7 linked regions of the Macaca fascicularis genome follow. The protein of the gene in region 2 interacts with the protein of the main gene of each other region in a biochemical or structural test. Links are inferred from orthologs where the notes say so. Each region holds a gene or a part of one and is shown on either strand. Other genes may lie near its edges. The genes, in order: PARP1, CDKN1A, DTL, ESR1, PSMA3, CDK2 and GADD45A.

Region 1 (3,500 bases), on a different chromosome or scaffold from region 2:
AATATCCAATACCTGTGGTGGGAAGGAGGGTGTCAGATGCACAAGTGTGGGTCAGCTGTCCCATTTCAGGAGAAGTTCCCCTTTCTTACCATTACATTCAGGTGTGGAAGAATTTTACACACCCCAAAAGGATAGTGATTAACACAGAACAAAAGGAACTGCTATAACAATAAAGGGTCTTTATCTTACCTCTCATTAAACTTTCAAATCATATTGACTATAAAAAAATGCCACATAATAGTTTAAACTTGGTTCTGGCAGCCAAGCCTGAGGAGTGAATCCTGGAGTCTGTAGACCTTTGCATAAAAACGATTCTACTCCTCTCCCCAAAGAAATACAAAGTACTGTCTGGAAGTCATGTGTTCAAGGAGACAACCCTTAAAGCTGTACCCTAAAAATAATTAACTTTCAACTCAGATCCGAGGCTAAGATACAATGAAATGAGGGGCGCAGTGGCAATGGCTCCTCAGGTCCGGTGACCTAGAGATGCAGGCTGTCATGTTCAAATTCCATCTCAATTGAGGGTGCACATCACACATATCCAGCTGCTGTGCTGCTTAGCTTTGGATGAGCTAATTTTTCATTAACTCAAAGCAGAGTTAATTTTTTAAATTAACTTTAAATTAACTTTAAATTAAATTAACGATGTCCACCAGGCCGAGGGTGGCACTGAAGACCTTCCCACCTTTCTCCAGGACAACTCTGCTTAATTTAAAAGTTTTAAACTCAAAACTTAATTTTCATTTCATAAGAAATACAGATATATCATAAACCCACATACAAGATTTGTGTACATTTTAAAGACAGAACTATGGACTTCAAAGAAAATTTGGGACTCCCTGGCCATTCTCTGGGCTACTGCACAGGGGTTTAACAATTCATTCTCTGCTTGGTTTTTCCTGTGAAAATTTTTGGGAAGCACTACTTTGATCTATGTTGAAAATTTTTTCTGACCCTAACAGCCCACACCACCCTTTCACTTAACACCAGCAAATCTAAGCCACCAGAAAAATGTACACATCCACAATCAACGTTAGAATTTAATAAGAGTTCCTTCCATACGCCTTTCCACTGACACATAAATCCTGTTTTGTGTTGGCTGTACCACAGGGCAATGAACTCACTAGCTAAGGACCACTCTGCCTAGATACGTAAGGACAAAAGCCAGCCCACCCTCTCATCACCTCCCAGCTGCTGTACCCCACAATCCAGAATACACCCTTGCCTGTCTCATCATGTTAATTAAAAAAAAGGCAAATCCAAACCTCTTTAGTTACTAGGGAGTTTGAACATTAAAAAGTAAGTTCAACGCTTGCCAACCTTTATTTGCTTCAAAGTTTTAAAACATATGTAAAATTAGAAAATCTTGATTCAAGCAGCTGAAAGAAAAGCCAGCTGGGGCTGGGTGCAGTGGCTCATGCCTGTAATCCCAGCAGTTTGGGAGGCTGAGGCGGGAGGATCACTTGAGTCCAGGAGTTTGAGACCAGCCTGGGCAACATAGTGAGGCCCTTGTCTCCATAAAAAATAAGGCATGGTGGTGTGCATCTATGGTCCCAGTTACTTGGGAGGCTGAGGTGAGAGGATTGCTTAAGCCTGGGAGGTCCAGGCTCCACTGAGCTGTGATTACACCACTGCACTCCAGCCTGGGTAACAGAGTGAGACTGTTTCAAAAAACACAACAAATAGTTGGAAAAACAAACAAACAAACAAAAAAAACCCACCAAACAAAAAGAAAAGCCAGTGGGAGAATACGTGAAACCATACCTTAAGACAACTGTACAAGGACAGCAATGCTACTGGTTAGTAAGTGGCTTCTTTCTCCCCTTTAAACAAAGGCCTCATGGTTCGTTTTTGATCTCTGTGATTAGATTTCATTCCCTAGGCACTGGGCCTAATGGGTTTCACAAGGCTGATGGCACAGCATTGACTGATGCAGGACGGGCCCATGTCTCTGCACAACCAGGCTACATCTACAGAACTCACCTGCTTTCCTTGTCGTCCTCCAGAAGCTGCAGCTTGTAATAGGAGTTGGTTCCTTTAACGATGTCCACCAGGCCGAGGGTGGCACTGAAGACCTTCCCACCTTTCTCCAGGACATGCGCAGAGTGTTCCAGTCCTGTCCCGGAGGCAAAGCACCTACAGTTTTCTCTCCCCTTGAGGGGCTAGCGCTCTCAGGGAGAAGGGGTTTGCAGGCCTGAGGTTCATGCCTTTTGGATACACTAATACCACCTTCAGGAGGTTCCCCTGAAATGTGTGTTCTCAGGACTGGGGGAGCTGGTGAAAGAGGCCTGAGGGGAAAGCCACGACCACATTGCCCCAGGTGTGCTGCGGGCATTCGGATGTGTGCTCCTAGTCTGCTGGTGGGGGGTGGGGCACGTGGCCCACTCGGCTGGCAGTCCTGTTTGCTTACCAGAATCAGGATCCACAGCTGCTCCTCCTTTAAGAGTTAATTTCATTCTCTTTTCAGATTTGTTGATACCTTGGAAGGGAACAGAAAAATGTCAACACGAAGTTAAACGTAACTAAAAAGTAAGGGGAAGGTAGAAGGCAAATGAGTCATTCTCATTCGCATGATCTGTCAACTTGGCATCTATATACACACTCCTCCCACCACCCCAAAGCGCCTGCCATTCTGTTTCCTGCTCTGCAGCACTCAACAGGCCATGTCTGGGACACAAAGGGACAGGTTCTGTGCAGGCCAACCTGGCCACCAATGTCCCCGGCTTTTGGCCCTGGAGGGGGCAGCTTGGGGCCCTCACCTTCCTCCTTGACCTGGCCCTTGCTTTTTTTGGAGAGTGCAGCCCCTGACTTCCCTTTTGGGGCCACAACTTCGACGGGCTCTGCCTTCACCTCTGCCCCCCAAGGGGACAAGATGTGTGCTAAGAACAACTCCTGAAGGCTCTTGGTGGAGGCGGAGACGTCCTGGAGGAAGTCCTCAGACACAACTCGGATGTTGGCTTCCTTTACTTCCTCCATCTTCTTATTCATCTTTTCCACCTCCTCTGTTCAAATTGAAAGGAAAAAAAAAATGAAATATAAGTTTAAAACAAAACTGAAACCTCAAATTACTATAGTTATATTTACTGTGTAATTCCAAACCCTCAACATCCACAGCTCTCCTTTGCTTCCAAGTCTAATGCTCCCAAGAGTGTTTTTCATTCAAACGATCTTCTTGATCAGCAATATTCCCCCTTTTCTAAGGTATGATGAGCCAGGGCAGCCTTCTCCAAGCCATTCTACAGCACGATGTTAACAGACACTCCAAGGAAAAAACACCCTGATGTCAAATATGTATGGGAAATCCTGTGTTGTATTTCTCTGGTTCCTGAAGACCTACAGTGGTAGTCGGCATAACAGACCCACACAGAAACCTGTTTACCTTTTGTTTCACCCTACCTTTTCCAAACATACTTGAACCATGAACTTCTGTTTTGGCAGAGATCTACGCACATCTTACAGAGCAGTGCGAAGTGATGAGAATACAGGTTGAGCAGTTTCCC
Region 2 (3,306 bases):
CCCTGCACATGTCCTCACCTGTCATGCTGGTCTGCCGCCGTTTTCGACCCTGAGAGTCTCCAGGTCCACCTGGGGACTCTTCAGGCTGCTCCCCTGAGCGAGGCACAAGGGTACAAGATAGCGACAGGTCCACATGGTCTTCCTCTGCTGTGCCCTGCAGCAGAGCAGGTGAGGTGCCAGGCCGCCTGCCTCCTCCCAACTCATCCCGGCCCCGCCGGGGCCCTGTGGGAAGGTAGAGCTTGGGCAGGCCAAGGCCCCGCACACGCTCCCAGGCGAAGTCACCCTCCAGTGGTGTCTCGGTGACAAAGTCGAAGTTCCATCGCTCACGGGCCTCCTGGATACAGCCCGCCATTAGCGCATCACAGTCGCGGCTCAGCTGCTCGCTGTCCACTGGGCCGAAGAGGCGGCGGCAGGCCTTGCTGCCGCATGGGTTCGGACGGACACTGCCAGCCTGTTCTGACATGGCGCCTGCAGCAGAGACACAAGGAAGGCCCTGGTCACCATGGAGACTGGACACTATGTTACCTGGCCGGGCTTTGCTGTGTCACCTCAGGTGACGTCTTCCTACCAGAGGGTCTCTCTTGCTCCTTCCAGCTGGTCTTCCTGCGTCCTTCCCACAGGAGGCCTGACCCCCACCAGCAGAGCGCAGCCAGCCTGGCACCCCAAGGTCACTGGCAGAGCAGGCAACTGAAGGGCAAGCTAATGTCAACAAAGGCAAATTTACTGCAAGAGCAAGGACCAGGGTCCTGTTTGCCACCAGGTATTTTCAGCTAAAATCAATTTGTTTTCCCCCCAGAGGTGTCCCTCATGGGTGTGAATGCCCCTCAAATACATGTGAATTGCCAGAGTCCAGCAGTTTCCTAATCCTAGCCATGGCCAGGCGGTCAATTCTCAGAAGAAGGAACAGTCGGACAGTTCCTCCAGCCTCCTGAATCCCCCTACCCAGATCCCCAAGTAGGGTAACCCTGCTCGACCAAGTAAAATTACCCTGGACTTTGGGGCAAAAAACACCCGGGTTGTGGTCCTAGCTCTGCCAGTTACTACGTAAGCTTTAAAAAACCACTTAATATCTCTAGGTCTCAGTTTCCTCACCCTTAAATGGGCCATGTGCAAGTTTAAAGAGCATGGCTACGGACACCTACTCAAGCAATTGATCAGGGAGTCCATGCGCAAGGCAGACAGAACAGAGCTGAGTGAAAGGCTGTGTCTTGGTGGTTAAGCAGGAGAGCTCTGGACTCAGATCATCTGGGTTGGAGTCCAGGTTTTACTAGGTGACCCTGGGCAAGCAACTTAACTTGTCTGAGCTCTATTTTCCTTGTCTATAAAATGGGGATATTACTGTCTCAGAGGATAGACATGAGAATTAACTGAGTTAACGTAGGTAACGTGCCAGCAGCACTTCGTATACAGAAGTGCATGGAAAACAGAAGTATGATTATTCCTCTCTGCCTTCAGTTTTATTGAGCCTCCTCCCTATCACTTCCCCCTGCCAACTACCTCCTTCAGACAGCAGCTGACAGGTGCTGTAGGCTGAGGGCCTTTCCCAAGGATGTCGTCAGGCGGGTGGCCTAGGGGTAAGGAGGGGCCGGGCGGGGCAGCGCAAGGGATGATTTCTCCCAGGCTGAGCCACATCCTGCCAGGCACATCAGGTGATCTGAAGTCTAGACACCTGGCAGCCTCTGCCCCGTGTTGCCTGTGTCCAAGGAACCCGTTTTGCAGGCAAAGAAAATTAAAGGTGGCTGGTCTACCTGGCTCCTCTCCTCCCACTTCAGGAGAGGGAAAACGGAGGGTGAGTTTGCCCATGAGGGAGCCCTGGCACCTACCTGCCTGCTCTGGCTTGACTCCAGGGCTGAGTGACTGCACGACCTTGGCAGCAACTGGGTTTTCCTAGGGACAAGTCCCAACTTGCAGGCTCTGGGGGGGAAAGCTCTGCTGAGTCCTCCTGAGGCAGGAAGCCCGGGACACATGCCACATCTGCTCCACCCCACCTCACCCCACTGCTTGTGATCAGTGCAGCCCACAGTTTCACGTCCCAGCTGGTTGGAAGAGGAGGCTCTTGGTAACTTCACACCAAGTTTAAACGGCAGGAGATGGAAGAGATATGAGACTTGTCCCTAAGTCATACAGCTAAAAAGGCCAAAGGCCACTGTCCCATAAAGGGGTCACCCAGTACAGTGGACAGAGCCCTCAAATAACCTCTGTCCACCCTCCGCTAGGCATGAGTTGGGATTTATTTATATATTTTTATGTTTGGGGGCTGTTCTAAGCAGTTTAAAAATATCAGTCCTCCTAAAAAGTGGATATCTATTAGCTCCCTTTATACAGAAGAGGCAACCAAGTCTCAGAGAAGTTAAGTGACTTGCCCAACATCACACAGTTCACAAGTGGCACAGCCAGGATCTGAACCCAGGCCTGTTTGCCCTGAGTCCTGTGCTCTAGTGTTGAACCCCACTCCCTCTCTAATTTTGAGGTTTCTTAACCAGAGAGGCCCATCAGAATGACTTGGGGAGGCCAGGGGCAGTGGCTCATGCCTGTAATCCTAACACTCTGGGAGGCAGAGATGGGAGAATCATTTGAGCCCAGGGGTCCAAGATTAGCCTGGGCAACACAGTGAGACCCCGTCTCTACTAAAAATAAAAGTAAATAAAAATTAGCTCGGTGGCTGGGTGCAGTGGCTCACATCTGTAATCCCAGCACTCTAGGAGGCCAAGGCGAGCAGATCATCTGAGGTCAGGGGTTCAAGACCAGCCTAGCCAAGATGGCAAAACCCCATCTCTACTAAAATTACAAAAATTAGCCAGGCGTGGTGGTGCACACTTGTAGCCCCAGCTACTTGGGAGGCTGAGGCAGGAGAATTGCTTGAACCCAGCAGGTGGAGGTTGCAGTGAGCTAAGATCATGCCACTATACTCCAGCCTGGGCAAAAGAGTGAGACTCCGTCTCAAAAAAAAAAAAAAAAAAAATGCTGGGCATGGAGGGTCACACCTGTGGTCCCAGTTACTTGGGAGGATGAAACAGGAGGACTGCTTGAGTCCAGGATGGTGCCATTGCACTCCAGCCTGGGTGAGAGTGAGACTCTGTAAGAAAGAAAGAAAGAAAGGAAGGAAGAAAGAAAAGAAAGAAAGAAAGAAAGAAAGAAAGAAAGAAAGAAAGAAAGAAAGAAAGAAAGAAAGAAAGAAAGAAAGGAAGGAAGGAAGGAAGGAAGGAAGGAAGGAAGGAAGGAAGGAAGGAAGAAAGAAAGGAAGAAAGGAAGAAAGGAAGGAAGAAAGAAAGAAAGAAAGAAAGAAAGAAAGAAAGAAAGAAAGAG
Region 3 (3,500 bases), on a different chromosome or scaffold from region 2:
CATATCAGGTCTGTGTTTTCAAGTTGCCTTCATGCTAGAAGTAGAGGGTTAAGACAATTATCTCAGTAGATGAAATGAAAAAATACTTTATTTCATGGAACAATTTGTTTAGATTATTTAAGGAGTTATGTACGGAGATGTAACCACAGGGACAGAACTTACTACTTATGATATCAAAGGATATATGCAGAATATTAAGGCTTAGGAAGTGTTTTTTCTAAAAACAATGGAACAATTACTATCGGCACTCAACCTTCATCTTCCTTTTCCGTTCCCTTAGAGTAAACTCCAGTAACCCATCACTGGGTCAAATCACATCTGTTTCCGTTCTGTCAGAATTATAAGCCTGGTATTGGAGACAACAGTGTAAGATAGTTTGATTTGTTTCCCAATTAAGTATCCTCACTGTACCTAGCTAATGTGACAGAAGAGTTAGATTAAAAGTCATTTCACATTTAGTGTAATTGAAGTTGTTTGGGGTTGGAAGAAGGTCTACAAAATATTTATTTGCCTTGGTTTTTAGGATAATCAAAGTATGGGATTTACGTAAGAATTATACTGCTTATCGACAAGAACCTATAGCATCCAAGTCTTTCCTGTACCCAGGTAGCAGCACTCGAAAACTTGGTAAGCCTTTGTATAGGTCTTTTGGGGGAGATATGAGTTTTTGTTAAAAACAAACAAACATTAGGCTAGTTTCCAGTAACATTGATATGAAAAATTCTAATATGTGAAGTTCAAAAGATAAAAACTCAGAAGAATGTTTTTGGTTTGTGTATATTTTGGGGACAAAGAATTCTGATGATTCTTCTTAAGGAACGATCTATTTTTGTCTGTACGTTTTGTCTCTACCTCACATCTACTCACCATCATCAGGACATGCTAACTTAAGTTTACTTTTTCCAGGATATTCAAGTCTGATTTTGGATTCCACTGGCTCTACTTTATTTGCTAATTGCACAGACGATAACATCTACATGTTCAATATGACTGGGTTGAAGACTTCTCCAGGTAAGACATTAGTCATTCAAATTCTCTTACCAGGAAACCATTATGGGCTTTTTTTTGGTAATGATAATTCAATGGGTTTTCTTCTAAACTGAACTTGTTAAGCCATATGAGGACTTTGACATCTTTGATTACATCCGGTGATAATTTCATAAGTGTACATTCCTTGTGATTTCATAAGTAAGCGGAATTGTGCTTTACATGGTGACTTAATTTTATTTTAATAGAAAATATCTCCTGAAATTATACCGTTTGGCCTATATTTAGAATTCTCTCAATTTTTGATTTAATAAGCTGTGGAGTAGACAAAGCGCTTCTGCTCAGCTTTTGTCCTCTTTAGGGGCTGCTGGTTAAAATTAGGGGACTGAATTTCTCAGACCCCCAAAATAGTTTTAGCCTATCTCAGCCTTCTCCTTAATGTTAAAGAGAGGCCCTTTTATTTCTAGATGTTTTCCCCAGCCTCGCCTTTTTTTTTCCCTCAAAACTATAAAAATAGAATCTGATACTTACAACTAATAAATGATAGTTTTAAAAAGAAAACCCAAGTTTCTCAAGCATGCTTTCCTCTTTTTTTAATCTTCTCCCCTCCCTCTTCCAAATCACCAGCCTCAGGCATGCTTTAAGAGAGTTATTTGGGTTACGTTATTTTTAAGAACATCAATTTCTTAAGCTACATCTTAGTAGCCTGGTTATTCCTCATCTATAGATCTTTCAGAAACACTTTGAATTCCATAACCAATCCTCAGAGTTACCCAGCTTCCACTAAAGTGAAATGGTTTGATAAACAAGAAACCTCAAGTACAGAACTTGTCATTTTATTTACTTTTTTTTAATCTTTTATTTTTTATTTTTTTGAGATGGAGTTTTGCTCTCTGTTGCCCTGGCTGGAGTGCAGTGGTTCGATCTCAGCTCACTGCAACCTCTGCCTCCTAGGTTCAAGCAATTCTCCTGCCTCAGCCTCCCAAGTAACTGGGATTACAGGTGCCCGCCACCACGCCTGGCTAATTTTTGTATTTCTAGTAAAGGCGGAGTTTCACCTTGTTGGTCAGGCGGGTCTCGAACTCCTGACTTCGTGATCCGCCCACCTCAGCCTCCCAAAGTGCTGAGATTACAGGTGTGAGCCACCGTGCCGGTCCAGAACTTGTCATTTTAGCTGAGATCTTAAAGAAGTTTCCAAAGGTCACTCCAAGCAATCTTATTAGGACTTTAGTATTGGTGGCAGTATCATAGTCGGCATTTCTGATGCTTTGCACTGGGTCTGATTTTCTCTAAGCAAGAGCAATAATGTTTAGAAAAGGGAAGAGGTGTTTCTTTTGCTGCTTTCCTTAATGGAATCTGAGCTTGGAGAACTGCTAATTTAGTTAATCAAAAATCTTTCCTTGAAAGATAAAACCTAATCCTGATTATATTATCAGATGTACAAGAGCTCTTTCTATATAATTTTTGCTGCAGTGTGGCACTGAAAAGGGCCTTGAGTTTAGTGTCCTGCCGTCAAACACTTCGCTAATGATTTAGTAAACCTTTTGTGTGCTTCTATTTAATTTCATTTGCTCAGATGGATAGATAGGTAAATAGATTAATAGATCAATTTGTTCCTTAAAAATTGAATGACAGCTGGCCATGGTGGCTCATACCTATAAACCCAAGCTGAGGCTGGCGGATCGCTTGACCCCAGGAGTTCAAGACCAGCCTGGGCAATATGGCAATATGGCAAAACCCCATCTTGACAAAGATGCAAAAAATTAGCTGAATGTGGTGGCATGTACCTATAGTCCTGCTACTCGGAAGGCTGAGGTAGGAGGAGGTTTGATCCTGGGAGGTTTGAGTCTTCAGTGAGCCATGATCTTGCCACTGCACTCCAGCCTGGGTGACAGAGTAAGACCCTGTCTTAAAAAAAAAAAAAAAAAATTGAATGACAACTCTGTGTGTGTGTGTGTGTATAACATCTTGTAATTACTTGTCCTTTTCAAAACTTCTGAAAGGATCTTGGATTTGATACTTGATCTACCATGCTTTGTATTTATGGTGTTATATTAAGTGATGTTCATGAGGATGACTTTGCAAGATTAAATTGAGCTCATTAAAGCCAATATGCATTTTAGGAGGATTTTTAGCAAGGTTTAAACATTTACAGTGCATATCATACCAGCCTTTCTTAGACCAGCAGAGGGCAATAAATCCTTACAGGTATAGTGGGAAATTCAGGCTAGAGTTTTCCATTCATAGTTCAGAGTTGAGGAAGATTAAAAATTACAGTTTTAAAACAATGTTCAGAATAAAGGAGCTTGTTTATTTTGCAGTGATAATAGGTGTATACAAATTGATTCATATCCTGCCTCACTTTCACAGTAAAAATATCTGATGTGAGGAGTATTTGCTATGCCTGCATAGCTTTTTCCTTAAAAGCTATAAATACAAAGTTCTTTTCCAGCTTTATTCTAGAAAATGGAAGAGATTCCTGTAAGCACTTATGGAAAGCTGTTAAGTCCCCT
Region 4 (3,500 bases), about 75 Mb from region 2:
TGGCAACAGAGGCTCCATTGGGTGTCATGTGTCCTGGGGCCCTGAGCGTGGGCACTCTAGGAGCACCTCATTATTGCATGTTAGTACTATGGCCAAGAGAAACGTTGAGAAAGTGGTCAAGAGGTGGATCCATGTGAACGCCACTGGAAAACGAGAGACCTCTTTCCCGATCACTGTCAGTGCAACTCGAAAGCCTAAAATCAATTGAAAACAAAGGTATCTACCTTTATCTTATGTTCATATCCTAGGCTTTTGATAATATGTATTTTTCACATGTTTACAGAAAGCAGTCAACTGAGCTATTCGTGGAAAGGTTTGTGGGTTTGGTTAACGAAGTGGAGGAGTATTACATTTCAGCTGGAAACACATCCCTAGAATGCCAAAACATTTATTCCAAAGTCTGGTTTCCTGGTGCAATCGGAGGCATGGCAATGCCTCTGTTCAGAGACTGGGGTCTAGGGCCAGTAAGGCATTTGATCCACATGTATCCCAGAAGGCTTTTATTGTTAAATTATATTCTTTCGGAAAAACCACCCATGTCCTATTTTGTAAACTTGATATCCATACACTTTTGACTGGCATTCTATTTTAGCCGTAAGAGTATGATTCACAGCAAGCCTGTTTTTCCTCTTGCTTGGGGTGGCAGCGGAAAGCATAGGGTACTTTCCAGCCTCCAAGGGTAAGGGGCAAAGGGGCTGGAGTTTCTCCTCCCCAGTACAGCTTTCTCTGGCTGTGCCACGCTGCTCCCTGTGAGCAGACAGCAAGTCTCCCCTCACTCCCCACTGCCATTCATCCAGCGCCGTGCAGTAGCCCAGCTGCGTGTCTGCCGGGAGGGGCTGCCAAGTGCCCTGCCTACTGGCTGCTTCCCGAATCCCTGCCATTCCACGCACAAACACATCCACACACGCTCTCTGCCTAGTTCACACACTGAGCCACTCGCACATGCGAGCACATTCCTTCCTTCCTTCTCACTGTCTCGGCCCTTGACTTCTACAAGCCCATGGAACATTTCTGGAAAGACGTTCTTGATCCAGCAGGGTAGGCTTGTTTTGATTTCTCTCTCTGTAGCTTTAGCATTTTGAGAAAGCAACTTACCTTTCTGGCTAGTGTCTGTATCCTAGCAGGGAGATGAGGATTGCTGTTCTCCATGGGGGTACGTGTGTGTCTCCTTTTTCTTTCATGACTTGTAGGATTCTTTGTGCCATTTGCATATAATTTGGCAGGTTCAGATTTTTTAAGAGCCCTATGAAGTGCTTTTTGCGTGTGTTTTAAAAAGGCATTTGAAAATTGAAAGTGTGATTTATGGAAACTAAATCATCTGTGAAAAATTGCTTTGGAAAGTAATGATTGCTGGCCATAAAGGGAAATATCTGTGATGTACCTAATGTGTTTTTAACCCTTTAGTTGCTGACAATCTATAGTCATTAATGCTAAACTCGATTTTGGCTTCATATTAAATCAGCTAATCTGTATATTGTCCGACAATGGTCTGTTTTTGTAGGAATTAGATAAAATGTATACTTGATATAAAATATTCAAAAATGTAACTATTAGTAACAGTAAGCTTGGCATTTAGATATACCATGAACACTTTGTCAGGTACTCTGTTGGGTGTTTGGGATAGCAATTAAAATAAAGTATTGATAGTTGTACCAGAGTCTATTAGGCTGCAGCAAAGGAAGTTTATTAAAAGTATAAACTCTCCAAGATTATAGATGCATGACATACTTTCCGTATTTTTTGTGTCCTTAATATGTATATGTATGTGTGTGTGTGCGTATGTGTGTGTGCATGCTTAACTTTTAATTCAGTTAAAAACTTTTTTCTATTTGTTTTTCATCTGGATATTTGATTCTGCATATCCTAGCCCAAGTGAACCGACAAGATCGAGTTGTAGGACTAAAGAATAGACATGCAGAAATGCATTTTAAAAATCTGTTAGCTGAACCAGACCGACAATGTCACATAATTGCCAAAGCTTTGGTTCATGACCTGAGGTTATGTTGGGTATGAAAAGGTCACATTTTATATTCAGTTTTCTGAAGTTTTGGTTGCATAACTAACCTGTGGAAGGCATGAACACCCATGTGCGCCCTAACCAAAGGTTTTTCTGAATCATCCTTCACATGAGAATTCCTAATGGGACCAAGTACAGTACTGTGGTCCAACATAAACACACAAGTCCAGCTGAGAGAATCTCAGAAGGTTGTGGAAGGGGTCCACTTTGGGAGCATTTTGCAGAGGAAGAAACTGAGGTCCTGGCAGGTTGCATTCTCCTGATGGCAAAATGCAGCTCTTCCTATATGTATACCCTGAATCTCCGCCCCCCTTCCCCTCAGATGCCCCCTGTCAGTTCCCCCAGCTGCTAAATATAGCTGTCTGTGGCTGGCTGCGTATGCAACCACACACCCCATTCTATCTGCCCTATCTCGGTTACAGTGTAGTCCTCCCCAGGGTCATCCTATGTACACACTACGTATTTCTAGCCAACGAGGAGGGGGAATCAAACAGAAAGAGAGATAAACAGAGATATATTGGAGTCTGGCACGGGGCACATAAGGCAGCACATTAGAGAAAGCCGGCCCCTGGATTCGTCTTTCGCGTTTATTTTAAGCCTGGTCTTCCCTGGGCCACCTTTAGCAGATCCTCGTGCGCCCCCGCCCCCTGGCCGTGAAACTCAGCCTCTATCCAGCAGCGACGACAAGTAAAGTAAAGTTCAGGGAAGCTGCTCTTTGGGATCGCTCCAAATCGAGTTGTGCCTGGAGTGATGTTTAAGCCAATGTCAGGGCAAGGCAACAGTCCCTGGCCTTCCTCCAGCACCTTTGTAATGCATATGAGCTCGGGAGACCAGTACTTAAAGTTGGAGGCCCGGGAGCCCGGGAGCTGGCGGAGGGCGTTCGTCCCGGGACTGCACTTGCTCCCGTCGGGTCGCCAGGCTTCACCGGACCCGCAGGCTCCCGGGTCAGGGCCGGGGCCAGAGCTCGCGTCTCGGCGGGACATGCGCTGCGTCGCCTCTAACCTCGGGCTGTGCTCTTTTTCCAGGTGGCCCGCCGGCTTCTGAGCCTTCTGCCCTGCGGGGACACGGTCTGCGCCCTGCCCACGGCCACGGCCACGGACCATGACCATGACCCTCCACACCAAAGCATCCGGGATGGCCCTACTGCATCAGATCCAAGGGAACGAGCTGGAGCCCCTGAACCGTCCGCAGCTCAAGATCCCCCTGGAGCGGCCCCTGGGCGAGGTGTACGTGGACAGCAGCAAGCCCGCCGTGTACAACTACCCCGAGGGCGCCGCCTACGAGTTCAACGCCGCGGCCGCCGCCAACGCGCAGGTCTACGGCCAGACTGGCCTCCCGTACGGCCCCGGGTCTGAGGCTGCGGCGTTCGGCTCCAACGGCCTGGGGGGTTTCCCCCCACTCAACAGCGTGTCTCCGAGCCCGCTGATGCTGCTGCACCCGCCGCCGCAGCTGTCGCCTTTCCTGCAGCCCCACGGCCAGCAGG
Region 5 (4,253 bases), on a different chromosome or scaffold from region 2:
GGGTCACAAGGTCAGCAGATCGAGACCATCCTGGCTAACACGGTGAAACCCCGTCTCTACTAAAAAATACAAAAAATTAACTGGGCGTGGTGGCGGGCGCCTGTAGTCCCAGCTACTCGGGAAGCCGAGGGAGGAGAATGGCGTGAACCCGGGAGGCGGAGCTTGCAGTGAGCGGGAGATCGCGCCACTGCACTCCAGCCTGGGCGACAGAGCGAAACTCCGTCTCAAAAACAAACAAACAAAAAAACCTGAAGAAATACTAAGCAGCTATTTTCCAGACTAAAGCAGACAACTGAATGCAAGGTGTGATCTTGGATTTTCTTTAGCTATGAAGGACTTTATAGGGAAAATTACCCCCCAAAAAAAAGAAAGTTGATAGATCACAGTATTGCTAGTTTTCTAATTTTCACAATAATACTGTGTCTATGTAAAATAATGTTCCTGTGTTGGGGGGGAAATACACACTGACGTATTAATATTTAGGAGTAAAAAAAGGCTGATGCCCTATTTACAATCGGATTAAAATTCAAACCACTTCAAGATTTGCTGTCATGTGCACTTGTTCTCTTCCTGTCACTCTTCCCCACTTAATGAGGGGTCACTCTGACGTGACAGTTCCTAGCGCAAGCCAAGTTTTTTACTGTTCCCTCAACCACTCTTTTGTTATCCTATTTTAAATATCACTCACTTAGAAAGTCATTCCCTGAGCACACTGCCTAAAGTTAGTATCTCCATTCTCTATTAAAGCACTCTTCCTTCTTACTATTTTGCTTATTTATCGTTATCTATTTCTTCCTACTGAATGTAAATTCCATTAGAAACGGTGGTATGTTCTGTTTACAGCTTTTTCTTCAACACGTGGAATACATTAGCGCTCAATAAATATCTTTAATCAGACATATCTTTAACTCTACCAAAAAGCGTTATACTCATAGAAAGAGTACTAATACTTGTGTAAAATTCCAAGCTGAATTCAAAGACGATACCCTTGAAGCGAAACTTCCCGAGAGCCTGGCATAAGAAGGTGAGGTGGATGCCATCAAGATTCTAGGTCAGGATGGGGACGCGGAGGAAGACAGGTTACTTCGCCCCTACTGCTTTTTCTATTCTTTGTGAGTATACGAGCATCTCTCCCTTTTGCTTAAAGACAGAATACAGTGACGAGGAGGGAATAATAATATAAAAAGATAAATAATAATTCCTAGGAAAGGAATAGAGCAGCTTCTCAGATTAAACGACGCCAAAAACTCAAAGTACGTGAACTAAAGGCGGAGCCTTTGCTTTCCCCAACCCCGCCTCTATTGCTTCTGAACATGCGCGCCGCCAGCCTCTAGCGTCCCGCTTCTTTCCCACAATACTCCTGGTCCTGGGGGCCGGAGCCGCGGAACGAGCCACAGAGAAAAAGGTTATTGGTTGGCGATGCAGCCAATGAGCGGGTCTGTTACTAGTTTGCGGCATCCTGTGGTGTAGGGGCAGCGCTCTAGGCCTGGAATCCTTACGCGTCCCGTTGGGTTTAGCACGATGAGCTCCATCGGCACCGGGGTGAGTTTGCTGTCTCTGGGTGTGATAGTTTAACCTAAGGCTTGGGGTTGAAGGGAACTGGGACAGACCACAAGGGTTTCGCGGACCTGGGGTGCTCTAAGACCGCCTTCGGCTGGGTGGGCCACTTGCAGCTGTTTGGAGACCGGTCGTCTTTATCCCCTATATGCTAGGCCTGCGTCTCAGGTGACCATGACTCCTGAAGCTTTTCAGCCCAGGTGTAGCCGGCTTGGCGTCGCCGCGGTGAGGTTTGGAGCAGCTTTGGATTGCTGAGTCACTTTCTTCAGCCACTTAGGGAAACCGAAAGTGGAAACTCGTGGGGCTTGAAATAGTGTGTTCTCTTGAGAACCACCGAGGCAGTGAGATTTGAGATTCCACGGTCCGGAGATCGTGCTTTCTGTGGACTGCGTTTGCAGTTCCCAGGTTGCTGCTGATTCACGGGCCTTCTCTGTCTTTAAGTGTGCAGATCATCGACCGCTCAGTTTAAGAGTCACTGGAAACCCTGTCGGAACAGAACTAATAAAAATGATCTGAATAACTAAATCTGATGAATCCTTCAGTTTTTCCTTTGTCCTTGTTTTTCCTATACAAAGTACCTAACAGCACTTGTAGGCATTTATCCCGTAAACGTTTAAGTGGTTACTTAGGAACTTAACAGCTTCAGACTTTTGATAGACTGTTGAGGATTTTGCAGTGGGACTTGTTAACTTGTTTGGTTTTCCTTTGTTAAACGTATGTATATGTGCAGTTTACTCCTTTTATGTACTCTATATAGAAAATACAGTTTCTACAAGATTTATTGGTTATTTGCACTAGAGTTACTGAATAATGAGTTTCTCAGTTCCTCAATTTCTACTTAACAAGATTCTCATGCTCAGCCTTAAGTTCAAGTACTGGTGTTCTAAATTTGATAATAGGCAATTTATGTCTGGAATGGTTTAATCCATTCGGTTATGAATGCTAAAGTTCTGCCATACTTTTCTTAGATAAGTAAATGCTCAATAATAAATCTTGTAGCAAACTGACTTTGCAATTATATTATTACCTTCAATTAATAGTATTTCATTCTACAAACCTTTTAAAGAATACTTGATAATATAACCATGTGGGATATTTTAGTAACAATGGTAGGGTTAATGATCTGGGTTTAACAGATCAGGAGGCCGGGCGCGGTGGCTCAAGCCTGTAATCCCAGCACTTTGGGAGGCCGAGACGGGTGGATCACGAGGTCAGGAGATCGAGACCATCCTGGCTAACACGGTGAAACCCCGTCTCTACTAAAAAAATACAAAAAACTAGCCGGGCGAGGTGGTGGGCGCCTGTAGTCCCAGCTACTCGGGAGGCTGAGGCAGGAGAATGGCGTGAACCCGGGAGGCGGAGCTTGCAGTGAGCTGAGATCCGGCCACTGCACTCCAGCCTGGGCGACAGAGCGAGACTCCGAATCAAAAAAAAAAAAAAAAAAAAACAGATCAGGAAACAGACTCAGAAAGTACCACTGTTGAAGGCTTATCTTCTGTGTTCATTTCTCCCAAGAACTCCAGATATGAATAATTGTTTGTCTGCTTGACACGTCTGTCCACTTGATTGTTTATTTTGTACTGCATGTCAAAGTAGAGCTCTGGGTTTTCTCCTTACCTTGCCATTTTGCATCTACTACAGTCTTCAGCTCAGTGAATGGTCATATGAAAACATCTGTGATTCATCTTTAATTCCTTTTTTTACTTCCAGAACCAACGCTTTAGCAAGTTTTTTTTTTATTTTTTGAGATGGAGTCTTGCTCTGTCGCCAGGCTGGAGTGCAGTGGCACGATCTTGGCTCACTGCAACCTCCGCTTCCCAGTTCAAGCAATTCTCCTGTCTCAGCCTTCCGAGTAGCTGGGACTACAGGTGCACACCACCACGCCCAGCTAATTTTTGTATTTTTAGTAGAGACGAGGTTTCACCATGTTTGCCAGGATGGGCTCGATCTTTTGACCTCGTGATCAGCCTGCCTCGACCTGCCAAAGTGCTGGGATTACAGGAATGAGCCATCATGCCCGGCCTCGCAAGTTTATTTTTATTATTTTTATTTTTTTACTATACTCTGAAAAAGTATTCCCTTCTACCTCTTCTCTTGTCTAAGCTAGTACCACGATCTTTGGAACACCTCATCTTTGCTTCTGTTGTTCTCTCTAGAATTCATTTTCCACATAAAGCCAGAATGATGTTTTTTAAAATGTAGATCATACCACTCCCCCTGCTTAAATTCCTCGTTGCATTTAGAATAAAATACAAAGTCCTTATTGCAGCCTGGAAGACCCAACATAATTTGACCCACAGCTACCTCACTAACACAGTCTACTCTTCTTTCTGCTGCTTACAGTGCTCGGGACACAGTGACCTTACTTCTGTTTCTTGACTGTGCTAGCCTTATTTCTACCCTAAGATCTTTGTGCCAAATGCCAAGAAGGCTTTTCCTTCATATCTTAAATGGCTAGCTTCTTGTCATTTAGGTTTGACTCAGCCTAAATATTACTGCCCCAGAAGGCCTTCCCTGATGATGTAGTCTGTAGTAGTTCCTTCCATTGCTTTACTCTTTTATTTTCATCTTAGTGCCTTTTCTGATTTACTGCTGTATCTCTAGCACCTAGATTCATGTCTGATTTGAAATTGAAGGACTTAATGAATGAGTGATCACCTTTGTATTCCATGTAGTGGACTAACATAATAGATACT
Region 6 (4,019 bases), on a different chromosome or scaffold from region 2:
CCAATACTACATTCTCTGACTCCCCACTTTAAATCTCCTACCCCAAGAGACATTTCTTAAAAGAGTCTCCCGCACATTTCACCCCTTTGGAGCCCCTGCTCCAGCTCACTGCCAAGGAAGCCTCAGAATCAGTGCCACAGAGACCTTCTATTCTTCTGCCCCTCCAAGCATATGAGATTATTTTCAGGCTCAATCCCAAATCTCCATGTAGGGAGGGAGCCCAGGTGCCCACATTCTCACTAAATCAAATGAGTGGGAGACGCCTGAAATATTGCCGCTATCTCCCATTAGGAGGAGAGAAACCAGAGCAGGGGGAATTCATCCCCAAGTTCACACCTGCTTATGTCCATATATCCACACATACCTTTTGTAGCCCCCACAGCCAGCAAAGCACCTATCATAGCCAAATGAAGAAGCCATCTTTTTAGCACCAGATCCATTGTGTTCTTCCCTCCAGCAACCAAAGGCACTGGGGGGACTGGGATAGGCCCCTATATAAGAAAAGGGTGCTCATTTGCATAGCCCTTCCTCTTCTCCCTCAGAGAAGGCCTGGGAGGGGCCAGAGAAGAGGAAGAAGGAAAAACTGACAAAGGGATCCTGGTCCCTAGACATTGCTTTCCCATCCTGCTACTCAATGGCAGTTTCTGGTTTCACTGGGTCACTCTCATATACTCCCGGGCAAGGGCTGACTGAAAGGCAGCTGCATAACACATACCAGACACAACAGTTCATCATGGGAGAGTGAATTAAACCAGGAACTTCTCAAAAAAACAGAAACAGAAGCCTGCATCCCAAAACACAGACAGCGTCGGGGTAGGCTATGAGGCAGAGGCAATGACTCCTCTGAGGCCCAGGAATTCTTTACAACGAGATTCCTAGTTTCCTGCTTTTCAAAGGAGGCTCCTGGGCCAGGTGGAATTTAACCTTAGGTCGATACATATTTTTCCCAGGAGTGGTGAAAATAGTGAGTTAGAAATCAAGAAATCCCTACAGACTAGAGACACAGGTAGGAAACTTGGACCCAAAGTAGGTACTTGGGAAGACTGTTCAGCCGCCCCACCGAGAAAGAAATTTGTCTAGCCCCCGAAGAACCAAACTTGCCTGGGGCGGGGTCATTTGCGGGGAGGAGCGCTGCACTCGCCCCCCGGCTCTGACGTTGACCAATAGAAATGCCTGGGGGCGGAGCCAGGGAAACGCGGGAAGCAGGGGCGGGGCTTCTGGTGGCGGTCGGGAACTCGGGGGGAGGCGGCAACATTGTTTCAAGTTGGCCAAATTGACAAGAGCGAGAGGTATACTGCGTTCCATCCCGACCCGGGGGCACGATACTGGGCCCTGTTTCCCCCTCCTCGGCCCCCGAGAGCCAGGGTCCGCCTTCTGCAGGGTTCCCAGGCCCCCACTCCAGGGCCGGGCTGACCCGACTCGCTGGCGCTTCATGGAGAACTTCCAAAAGGTGGAAAAGATCGGAGAGGGCACGTACGGAGTTGTGTACAAAGCCAGAAACAAGTTGACGGGAGAAGTGGTGGCGCTTAAGAAAATCCGCCTGGACACGTGAGTGGCCTCTGTACCCGGGACTCCTAACTGGGGACCTCCTTGACTGTCCCCCCCCAATCCCCCACGGGCGGGTAGCCGTCCAGGGACCGGAAGACAACAGGGACGGACTTCTTTAGAAGTGGAGAGGTGGGTTGGGGGCCAGTAGAAGGTGGAGTGTATACTTATACTCCCTGGGGAGAGTATAGGATGGTGTGGAATCCATGGAAAACTTTCTTCCCAAACTGAGCCGGATCGTGCCCCCAAATGTGCGAACACAGAGACTCGGGGAGAGAAAGGAGGCCTCTGAGATGAGGTCCAAGACTCTCCATGGAGTGGAGTTATGTGGGAACGGGCGAGGAGCGCCTTTCTGAATGAAGAGCTCTCCTCACTGCCCCACCCTCACCTTAGAATTCTCTCCTCTTTCCAAAGAATGGCAGTTGAACCTCACTGGCCCCTCTGGAGAGACTGGGGACTAGTCCTGCTTTTTTTTTTTTTCCCCCCATTACAGCCTCCCTGCTTCACCTTCACCAGACGGCTTTACTTACCTACCCCTGGGAAAAGACAAGATAATGACCTTAATATGTGCAAAAGCCACACCCTGACTACCCAAGAATTAGCTCTTTCCAGCACCCTTTCTTTTCTCTGACTTTCCTAGGGGGTGCTGGGTGGTGTCTCCTTGGGGGAAAGAAATGACTAGGTGGGGGAAAAAGGAATATTTGTAACCATATTCCCGTCTCTGCTTTCCCAACCTCTCCAAGTGAGACTGAGGGTGTGCCCAGTACTGCCATCCGAGAGATCTCTCTGCTTAAGGAGCTTAACCATCCTAATATTGTCAAGTGAGTATGTGTCTGAGAGGCAATCCAGCTGGAAAGGAGGATGAGTTGTCTGTACAGTGTGGGCTTTTCTCTCTCTCGCACCTCCATTTCCTCAAACTTTACTTCTCTAGGCTGCTGGATGTCATTCACACAGAAAATAAACTCTACCTGGTTTTTGAATTTCTGCACCAAGATCTCAAGAAATTCATGGATGCCTCTGCTCTCACTGGCATTCCTCTTCCCCTCATCAAGGTAATGCTTCTCATCAGCTCCTCCCATCATGGGCATGTCTTGGGGTTCTGGTGGCAGGCAATTCAGGGTGATATTTTATGATCTTGGCCTCCTTCTGAGCCCTCATCTCCTACACACACACACTCCCCTTCTTTTTGTGTCTCCTTCCCTGCTCATTATATTCATTAACCCTAGGGTTGGACTGAACAATCAAAGTTGAAACTCTAGTGAGTCAACCTAGCAACTCAGGTGGGAGGTCAGATGAAACTCAGATAAATGGGATTTGAGAGCACTTGGTAAATTCCTCCAAAAAGCCCTTCTGTTTGGTGGAAGAACCAGCTAGTAAGTCTCTATTGTCTATTTTAGGGCTGGATTCTTCACTCCCAGAGCTACTTTATTAACAAACATTTGTTCAATGCACAGCATGTAGAAAAGGGAAGCAAAATTGAGTAAGACTTGGTCCTTATCCTCTCTGGGCTGACAGTCCATTGGGAGAAATAGCTTGTAAATATGTAACTATAATCCAACATATAAAGGCTTTAGTAGAGTTTTGGGGTCACAGAGCAAACCCAGTCTGCTCACTGTGATGGAGAAACACAGTCCTCTCTTTCTTCTTTGTCAGAGCTATCTGTTCCAGCTGCTCCAGGGCCTAGCTTTCTGCCATTCTCATCGGGTCCTCCACCGAGACCTTAAGCCTCAGAATCTGCTTATTAACACAGAGGGGGCTATCAAGCTAGCAGACTTTGGACTAGCCAGAGCTTTTGGAGTCCCTGTTCGTACTTACACCCATGAGGTGAGTCCCTTTATGCCTTTCTTCTCTGAGCTTCCCAAGAGGTGTTAACTAGGGTATTCACAAATTTACTAAAAATATCTGGCTAACAGTTTCTTACTAGGTAGAAATAATCTCTTGACATCTTCAAGAGTCTTAGGGCATGCATGGAATTCATACTGTGTTGCTAACTGGGCTCACGCCTGTAATACCAGTACTTTGGGAGGCTGAAGTGGGAGGATCACTTGAGCCCAGGAGTTCGAGACCATCATGGGCAACATAGCGAGACCCCATCTCTACAAATCTACAAAAAGAAAAAATTTCGAAATCAAATTATGACCATTTGTCTCAAGTTTTTCCAGGAAGATCTCAAATTGGGGGTTCAGAAAATATGGTCTCCAGAACTATGGACTGGAAATCAGTGAGAGGGGAAAGAGGGAGGGAAGGAAACTGCTTGTTAAGAGGCCATGAGTTAGCAGAGTAGTGTTGGGGAACTGAGATGTGGGAATCTCCATACCCTATAAACCACTCCACCTCTCCCTATTCCTGTCCCTCAGGTGGTGACCCTGTGGTACCGAGCTCCTGAAATCCTCCTGGGCTGCAAATACTACTCCACAGCCGTGGACATCTGGAGCCTGGGCTGCATCTTTGCTGAGATGGTATGGAGGCTTGCC
Region 7 (4,211 bases), on a different chromosome or scaffold from region 2:
GCTTCCTTCTTCATTTTCACCTCTTTCCATCTGCAAAGTCATCTATCTCCGGGCCCCCAGAACATGTAGTTGAACTCACTCAGCCCCTTGACATCAGTTTCTGTAATCCTTGCATCAGTGTAGGGAGTAACTGCTTGAGTAACTACAAAGGTATTTCAAAAACTTCAGTGCAATTTGGTTCAGTTATTTTCATTCAGATGCCATCACCGTTCAGGGAGATTAATCACCGGAACCCACTGATCCATGTAGCGACTTTCCCGGCAAAAACAAATAAGTTGACTTAAGGCAGGATCCTTCCATTGAGATGAATGTGGATTCTGGAAACAAATTTAGAAAAATAAACTTATTTTTAAAAAATCGATATTTGCTAGTATTACACTTTTGAGGAGAAGACACTTGAACATTCTATATTTTGGCTACGTGACATGGAGACAAATTAGAAGCACAAAAAATTAAAGTTTCTTCAAAGTAGTTGGGTTCCGTGCAAAATCGTTAAGGGTAATTACCTATTAAACTACACACTGCAAAGTCTGAACCCATGCAACCCAAGCTGAACCACATACATATGTTTGCATATCTGTTCAGTTTTGCATGAGAGTATCATTCACGGGTTTGCTCTACCAAACTTGTTACCCTGACCTGAGTGAAACAGTTTTGAGAAAGATTTCCATGCTGTGTGCACAATGAGATGAGAGCTGCACAGCAGTTAACTGGAATTGCCATCAACTCTACTCCCAAGAGACAGAGTAGTACTTTTAAGGAGTAGCAAAATAATCCGGCTGTCACTTGACTAGACCAGTCAAAAAGCAAAATTTAGAAGACAAAAGTAGCACACTTATCCCTGAAAACATAACTTCCCTACCTACCAAAGGTTTTTATCAGAAGAGTAAAAAAAAAAAAAAGGCCCATTAAAAAAATGCAAGATTGCAGAGAAAAAAATTCCACTCTATCCTCTTAATGTATTTCTAGGGAATTAACAAGGTTTGTCTCCTACACAATTTCTATTTTTAGCTCTGACTGGCAGAGAATGAAGCTGACTCCTTAATGAGGGGTGAGCCAGGAATTCATTTGGCTTTATCTAATCTGCCCTGCTAAAGGAATTAGTCACGGGAGGCAATGCAGATGTAGGTAGGGAGTAGCTGGGCTGACTGCTGACTCACAGGGATCTCTTCCGCTGCTGGCAGTCCCCAGCATGCTTAGACATGTTCTGTACCACAGATTATCCTGATGATGAAACTAGTACATCTCGGCTGAAAGTCCAGCCACACTCTCGTGGGGCAAAGGCAGCACCCTCCTGACCCAAACCTACCCCAGATCCACAATCAGGCGACCCAGCCCTGACTCCCGTCCTTCCGGGGCTCTACCCCGCAGGCTGCAGTCCCCCTGCCCCTTACCGTCACCAGCACGCAGTGCAGGTCCGGGGGCTGCTCGGCGCCCTCGGTCGCCGCGGGGCCAGCGTCGGTCTCCAAGAGCAGGAGCTCCGCCAGCCGGCCCGGGTTGCTGACGCGCAGGATGTTGATGTCGTTCTCGCAGCAGAACGCCTGGATCAGGGTGAAGTGGATCTGCAGAGCCACATCTCGGTCGTCGTCCTCGTCCGCCGCCAGCAGGCACAACACCACGTTATCGGGGTCGCTGGGGGCAGCGGGCGGGGCCAGTGAGCGCAGAACCGCGGACGCCCTCAACCCCTGCCTGGGTCTCCGGGGGTCGCCGCCCGGCCAGCTCGCCCCCTCCCCTCCGGGACAGGCAGCCGCGGGGGCAGAAGAAAAGCGACAGGAAGTGGCGCGGCCGGGCGAGGGGCGCCCAGCCAAGGCGACCTCCCGGGCTAGGGCGGGAAGGGGTGCCACGGGAGACGCGCAAGGGCCCCACTTACACGTTGAGCAGTTTGGCCGCTTCGTACACCCCGACAGTGATCGTGCGCTGACTCAGGGCTTTGCTGAGCACTTCCTCCAGGGCATCCCCCACCTTATCCATCCTACACGCGGGCAAGGGCGAGGGGTCCCGTCAGCCCCGGTGCCCTCGGGCCCATCGCCGCCCCCATTGCCCGGCACCACGCCCCTCCCTCTCGAATGCAAGCACCACCGCGCACCTGGGCTCTCCGAAAACCCGGCGCTCCCGCGGCCCCGTCACCCCCCATGACCCCTGCACGCCCAAGGACCGGGCGTCCCATGAGAAGTCCCGAGAGTGCCCCTGCCACAGGCTGCTAGCCCCAGGAGCCGCAAGGGCAGCGACGGCCACTGCTGCCCTTTGCAAAGGCCCCGGCGGGGCTCGTTCGGGTTGCGGGGCATGCTCTTTCAGTCCGCGGACGCTACACGGAGAGTCCCGAGGGAGCAAGGGCGGGAGTTGCCCTGTGCAAACTTTTCTGCTTCCTCCCCTGCAAACCTTCCACAGCCCGCCTGCACCCGGGAGCGCGGGGTAGGTGAGAGAAGTTCGGGCCGGAAGAGTCCGCAGGCCGATTTACCTTTCGGTCTTCTGCTCTCCAGCCGAGAATTCCTCCAAAGTCATATTGCAAACTGCAGGTCGCCCACGGAGAGAGCGCGGCGTGCGGGCTGCTCCTGCCACGGCGAGCGCGCCAGCGCCTGCTTTCTGCACTCACTCACAGGCGCCGCGCCGGGAGCTCAGGCCCCGGCGCTGTCCGGCTGCCCCACGCCCGCCCGGGCTCCTCCTCCTGTGCCAGCCGCCGCAGCTTCGGCCACCCCTCCCGCCCCGCTTGCTCGTTCGCTCGCTCTCCGGCCCTCGCCTCGCCACCGGCCTCACGACACTAATTGGGCAGCTGCCTCGCAGCCACTGCTTACCAGCCACTGGAGGACAAAGGGCCCCGCTCGTCGGCGTTATCCTGCCAACCCTCAGCCAACCACCTTCCGCCTCATTTGCATGCATCTTGGCCATTGGGCTATGCAAATCAGCCTGCTCCGGCAATTTGACCCTAGCTCCTGGAGTCAGGTTGAGAGGAGCGGAAAAGGGAGGAGCCACGCGGGAGGCGAGCCGAGGGGGCGGGGGCGGGGGCGGGGACGGGGGCGGTGCAGAGAGAGGAAGGCGGGTCCCGCGCGCTCTCTTATCCGGTTGGCGGGGACCACTGGGAGTGGAGGGCTTCAGCAGAGGCGGGAGGTAGCCTTAGCTTGGGCTGAAGCAGGCTGCCAAGTGTTTTTTTATAATAGTCGCGGCACTTTTTTCTTATTATCGTTTCATGCCTTTTGTTTTAAGGGGTGGCTATTAAAATCTATTTCCAGGGTTAATGCACCTAAGTCTAGTAATTATTAGTAAGCAGTTTACATTAAAAAAGTGTCTCCAGACCTCTGGGGCAAAGTTTACCTCAGAAGTGTTGTTTATCTAAGTCTAGGCGAAGCTGCTTATTAGCAGTAGTATTATTTCGGTGCCCTGATGGCTGGTTTGATTTATTTTTGGAAAGCTGCAAGGGTTGGAAGCTCAAAAAAGAAAAACCAACCCGTTTGTATTCAGGGATGGCAGGGAACCAAGTTGGAGTCTTTTCCACAGAATGCAGAACGGTTTCCCACCTGCCCGCTGTAACTGGGAAATCGTGAGCTGGTCTGCGTGGGGAGCTGGTGACCACATGTGGGAATCCCTGGCAACCCAGATTCTCCTTTCTCAAAGAGCCTTGCCCAAACAAGGATCCTTCTGGACGCCCACCAGTCGAGAGACAACCATCTGACACCCACACAGCCCACAAGTCTAAATTCAAAATGCTCTTGATATGCCCTAAGCTTCCTTTCCTAACGTATGTATGTCACTACCTTCCACAGAGAGCCTCCTGTGTGATCTCACTGTGAATTATTGATGTTAGATGCTGAATCATGAAGCCGTAACTATAGGAAGTTTTTAGTCATATGCTAAAATTTCACCTTTGAGATAATGGCAACTTGCAGGTGGAAAGCAGACCTTTAAAACTGCAAATGGTAGTTACACATTTTGAAAAACAAACTTTAATATATAGACTCTCACTGAGTAGTTCAAAAGTCCCTTCCTTTGTTTTATGGTTTATGCAATAAATGCAAAAACATTTCTTAAACCTACTGAAGTCACCAAAAGTGGTGAAAACGGCTCCCACATGCTTGCATTCAAAACAGTGCTTGCATTATTAAGGTTGCTGTACAGCCAAAGGTCACAGAAGTAATTTTTTGCAAAGGTCACCTGGGAGTTTTGCACCCTTATGTTTTTATCACTCTAGACAAAATATTCTCCAGCTCTCTTGATCT

The links.
Region 1: the proteins of CDKN1A (region 2) and PARP1 form a complex in vitro, tested with the Homo sapiens proteins (2 studies listed by BioGRID). The link is inferred for Macaca fascicularis from reciprocal best matches to the Homo sapiens genes CDKN1A and PARP1.
Region 3: of the proteins of CDKN1A (region 2) and DTL, one has a biochemical effect on the other in vitro, tested with the Homo sapiens proteins (3 studies listed by BioGRID, with this or other methods). The link is inferred for Macaca fascicularis from reciprocal best matches to the Homo sapiens genes CDKN1A and DTL.
Region 4: the proteins of CDKN1A (region 2) and ESR1 form a complex in vitro, tested with the Homo sapiens proteins (2 studies listed by BioGRID). The link is inferred for Macaca fascicularis from reciprocal best matches to the Homo sapiens genes CDKN1A and ESR1.
Region 5: the proteins of CDKN1A (region 2) and PSMA3 form a complex in vitro, tested with the Homo sapiens proteins (4 studies listed by BioGRID). The link is inferred for Macaca fascicularis from reciprocal best matches to the Homo sapiens genes CDKN1A and PSMA3.
Region 6: the proteins of CDKN1A (region 2) and CDK2 form a complex in vitro, tested with the Homo sapiens proteins (9 studies listed by BioGRID and IntAct, with this or other methods). The link is inferred for Macaca fascicularis from reciprocal best matches to the Homo sapiens genes CDKN1A and CDK2.
Region 7: the proteins of CDKN1A (region 2) and GADD45A form a complex in vitro, tested with the Homo sapiens proteins (3 studies listed by BioGRID). The link is inferred for Macaca fascicularis from reciprocal best matches to the Homo sapiens genes CDKN1A and GADD45A.

What each region holds. Positions count from the first base shown.
Region 1 is NC_088375.1:84,293,744-84,297,243, forward strand, and holds part of PARP1 (poly [ADP-ribose] polymerase 1), read right to left. Parts: intron 3,003-3,500; coding exon 2,760-3,002; intron 2,480-2,759; coding exon 2,411-2,479; intron 2,117-2,410; coding exon 1,984-2,116; intron 13-1,983; coding exon 1-12. UniProt on the Homo sapiens protein: Poly-ADP-ribosyltransferase that mediates poly-ADP-ribosylation of proteins and plays a key role in DNA repair.
Region 2 is NC_088378.1:134,983,452-134,986,757, forward strand, and holds part of CDKN1A (cyclin-dependent kinase inhibitor 1), read right to left. Parts: intron 469-3,306; 5' UTR 464-468; coding exon 19-463; intron 1-18. UniProt on the Homo sapiens protein: Plays an important role in controlling cell cycle progression and DNA damage-induced G2 arrest. Involved in p53/TP53 mediated inhibition of cellular proliferation in response to DNA damage.
Region 3 is NC_088375.1:69,875,851-69,879,350, forward strand, and holds part of DTL (denticleless protein homolog), read left to right. Parts: intron 1-523; coding exon 524-627; intron 628-906; coding exon 907-1,011; intron 1,012-3,500. UniProt on the Homo sapiens protein: Substrate-specific adapter of a DCX (DDB1-CUL4-X-box) E3 ubiquitin-protein ligase complex required for cell cycle control, DNA damage response and translesion DNA synthesis.
Region 4 is NC_088378.1:60,008,960-60,012,459, forward strand, and holds part of ESR1 (estrogen receptor), read left to right. Parts: intron 1-922; exon of another isoform or gene 923-1,038; intron 1,039-3,042; 5' UTR 3,043-3,118; coding exon 3,119-3,500.
Region 5 is NC_088381.1:126,091,285-126,095,537, forward strand, and holds the start of PSMA3 (proteasome subunit alpha type-3), read left to right. Parts: upstream 1-1,453; 5' UTR 1,454-1,521; coding exon 1,522-1,542; intron 1,543-4,253. UniProt on the Homo sapiens protein: Component of the 20S core proteasome complex involved in the proteolytic degradation of most intracellular proteins. This complex plays numerous essential roles within the cell by associating with different regulatory particles.
Region 6 is NC_088385.1:62,746,645-62,750,663, forward strand, and holds the start of CDK2 (cyclin-dependent kinase 2), read left to right. Parts: upstream 1-1,219; 5' UTR 1,220-1,432; coding exon 1,433-1,548; intron 1,549-2,288; coding exon 2,289-2,366; intron 2,367-2,476; coding exon 2,477-2,597; intron 2,598-3,198; coding exon 3,199-3,369; intron 3,370-3,902; coding exon 3,903-4,004; intron 4,005-4,019. Other genes in the region: melanocyte protein PMEL, read right to left, coding at 365-440. UniProt on the Homo sapiens protein: Serine/threonine-protein kinase involved in the control of the cell cycle; essential for meiosis, but dispensable for mitosis. Phosphorylates CABLES1, CTNNB1, CDK2AP2, ERCC6, NBN, USP37, p53/TP53, NPM1, CDK7, RB1, BRCA2, MYC, NPAT, EZH2.
Region 7 is NC_088375.1:166,989,841-166,994,051, forward strand, and holds the start of GADD45A (growth arrest and DNA damage-inducible protein GADD45 alpha), read right to left. Parts: upstream 2,801-4,211; 5' UTR 2,503-2,800; coding exon 2,459-2,502; intron 1,973-2,458; coding exon 1,871-1,972; intron 1,633-1,870; coding exon 1,395-1,632; intron 318-1,394; coding exon 204-317; 3' UTR 1-203. UniProt on the Homo sapiens protein: In T-cells, functions as a regulator of p38 MAPKs by inhibiting p88 phosphorylation and activity.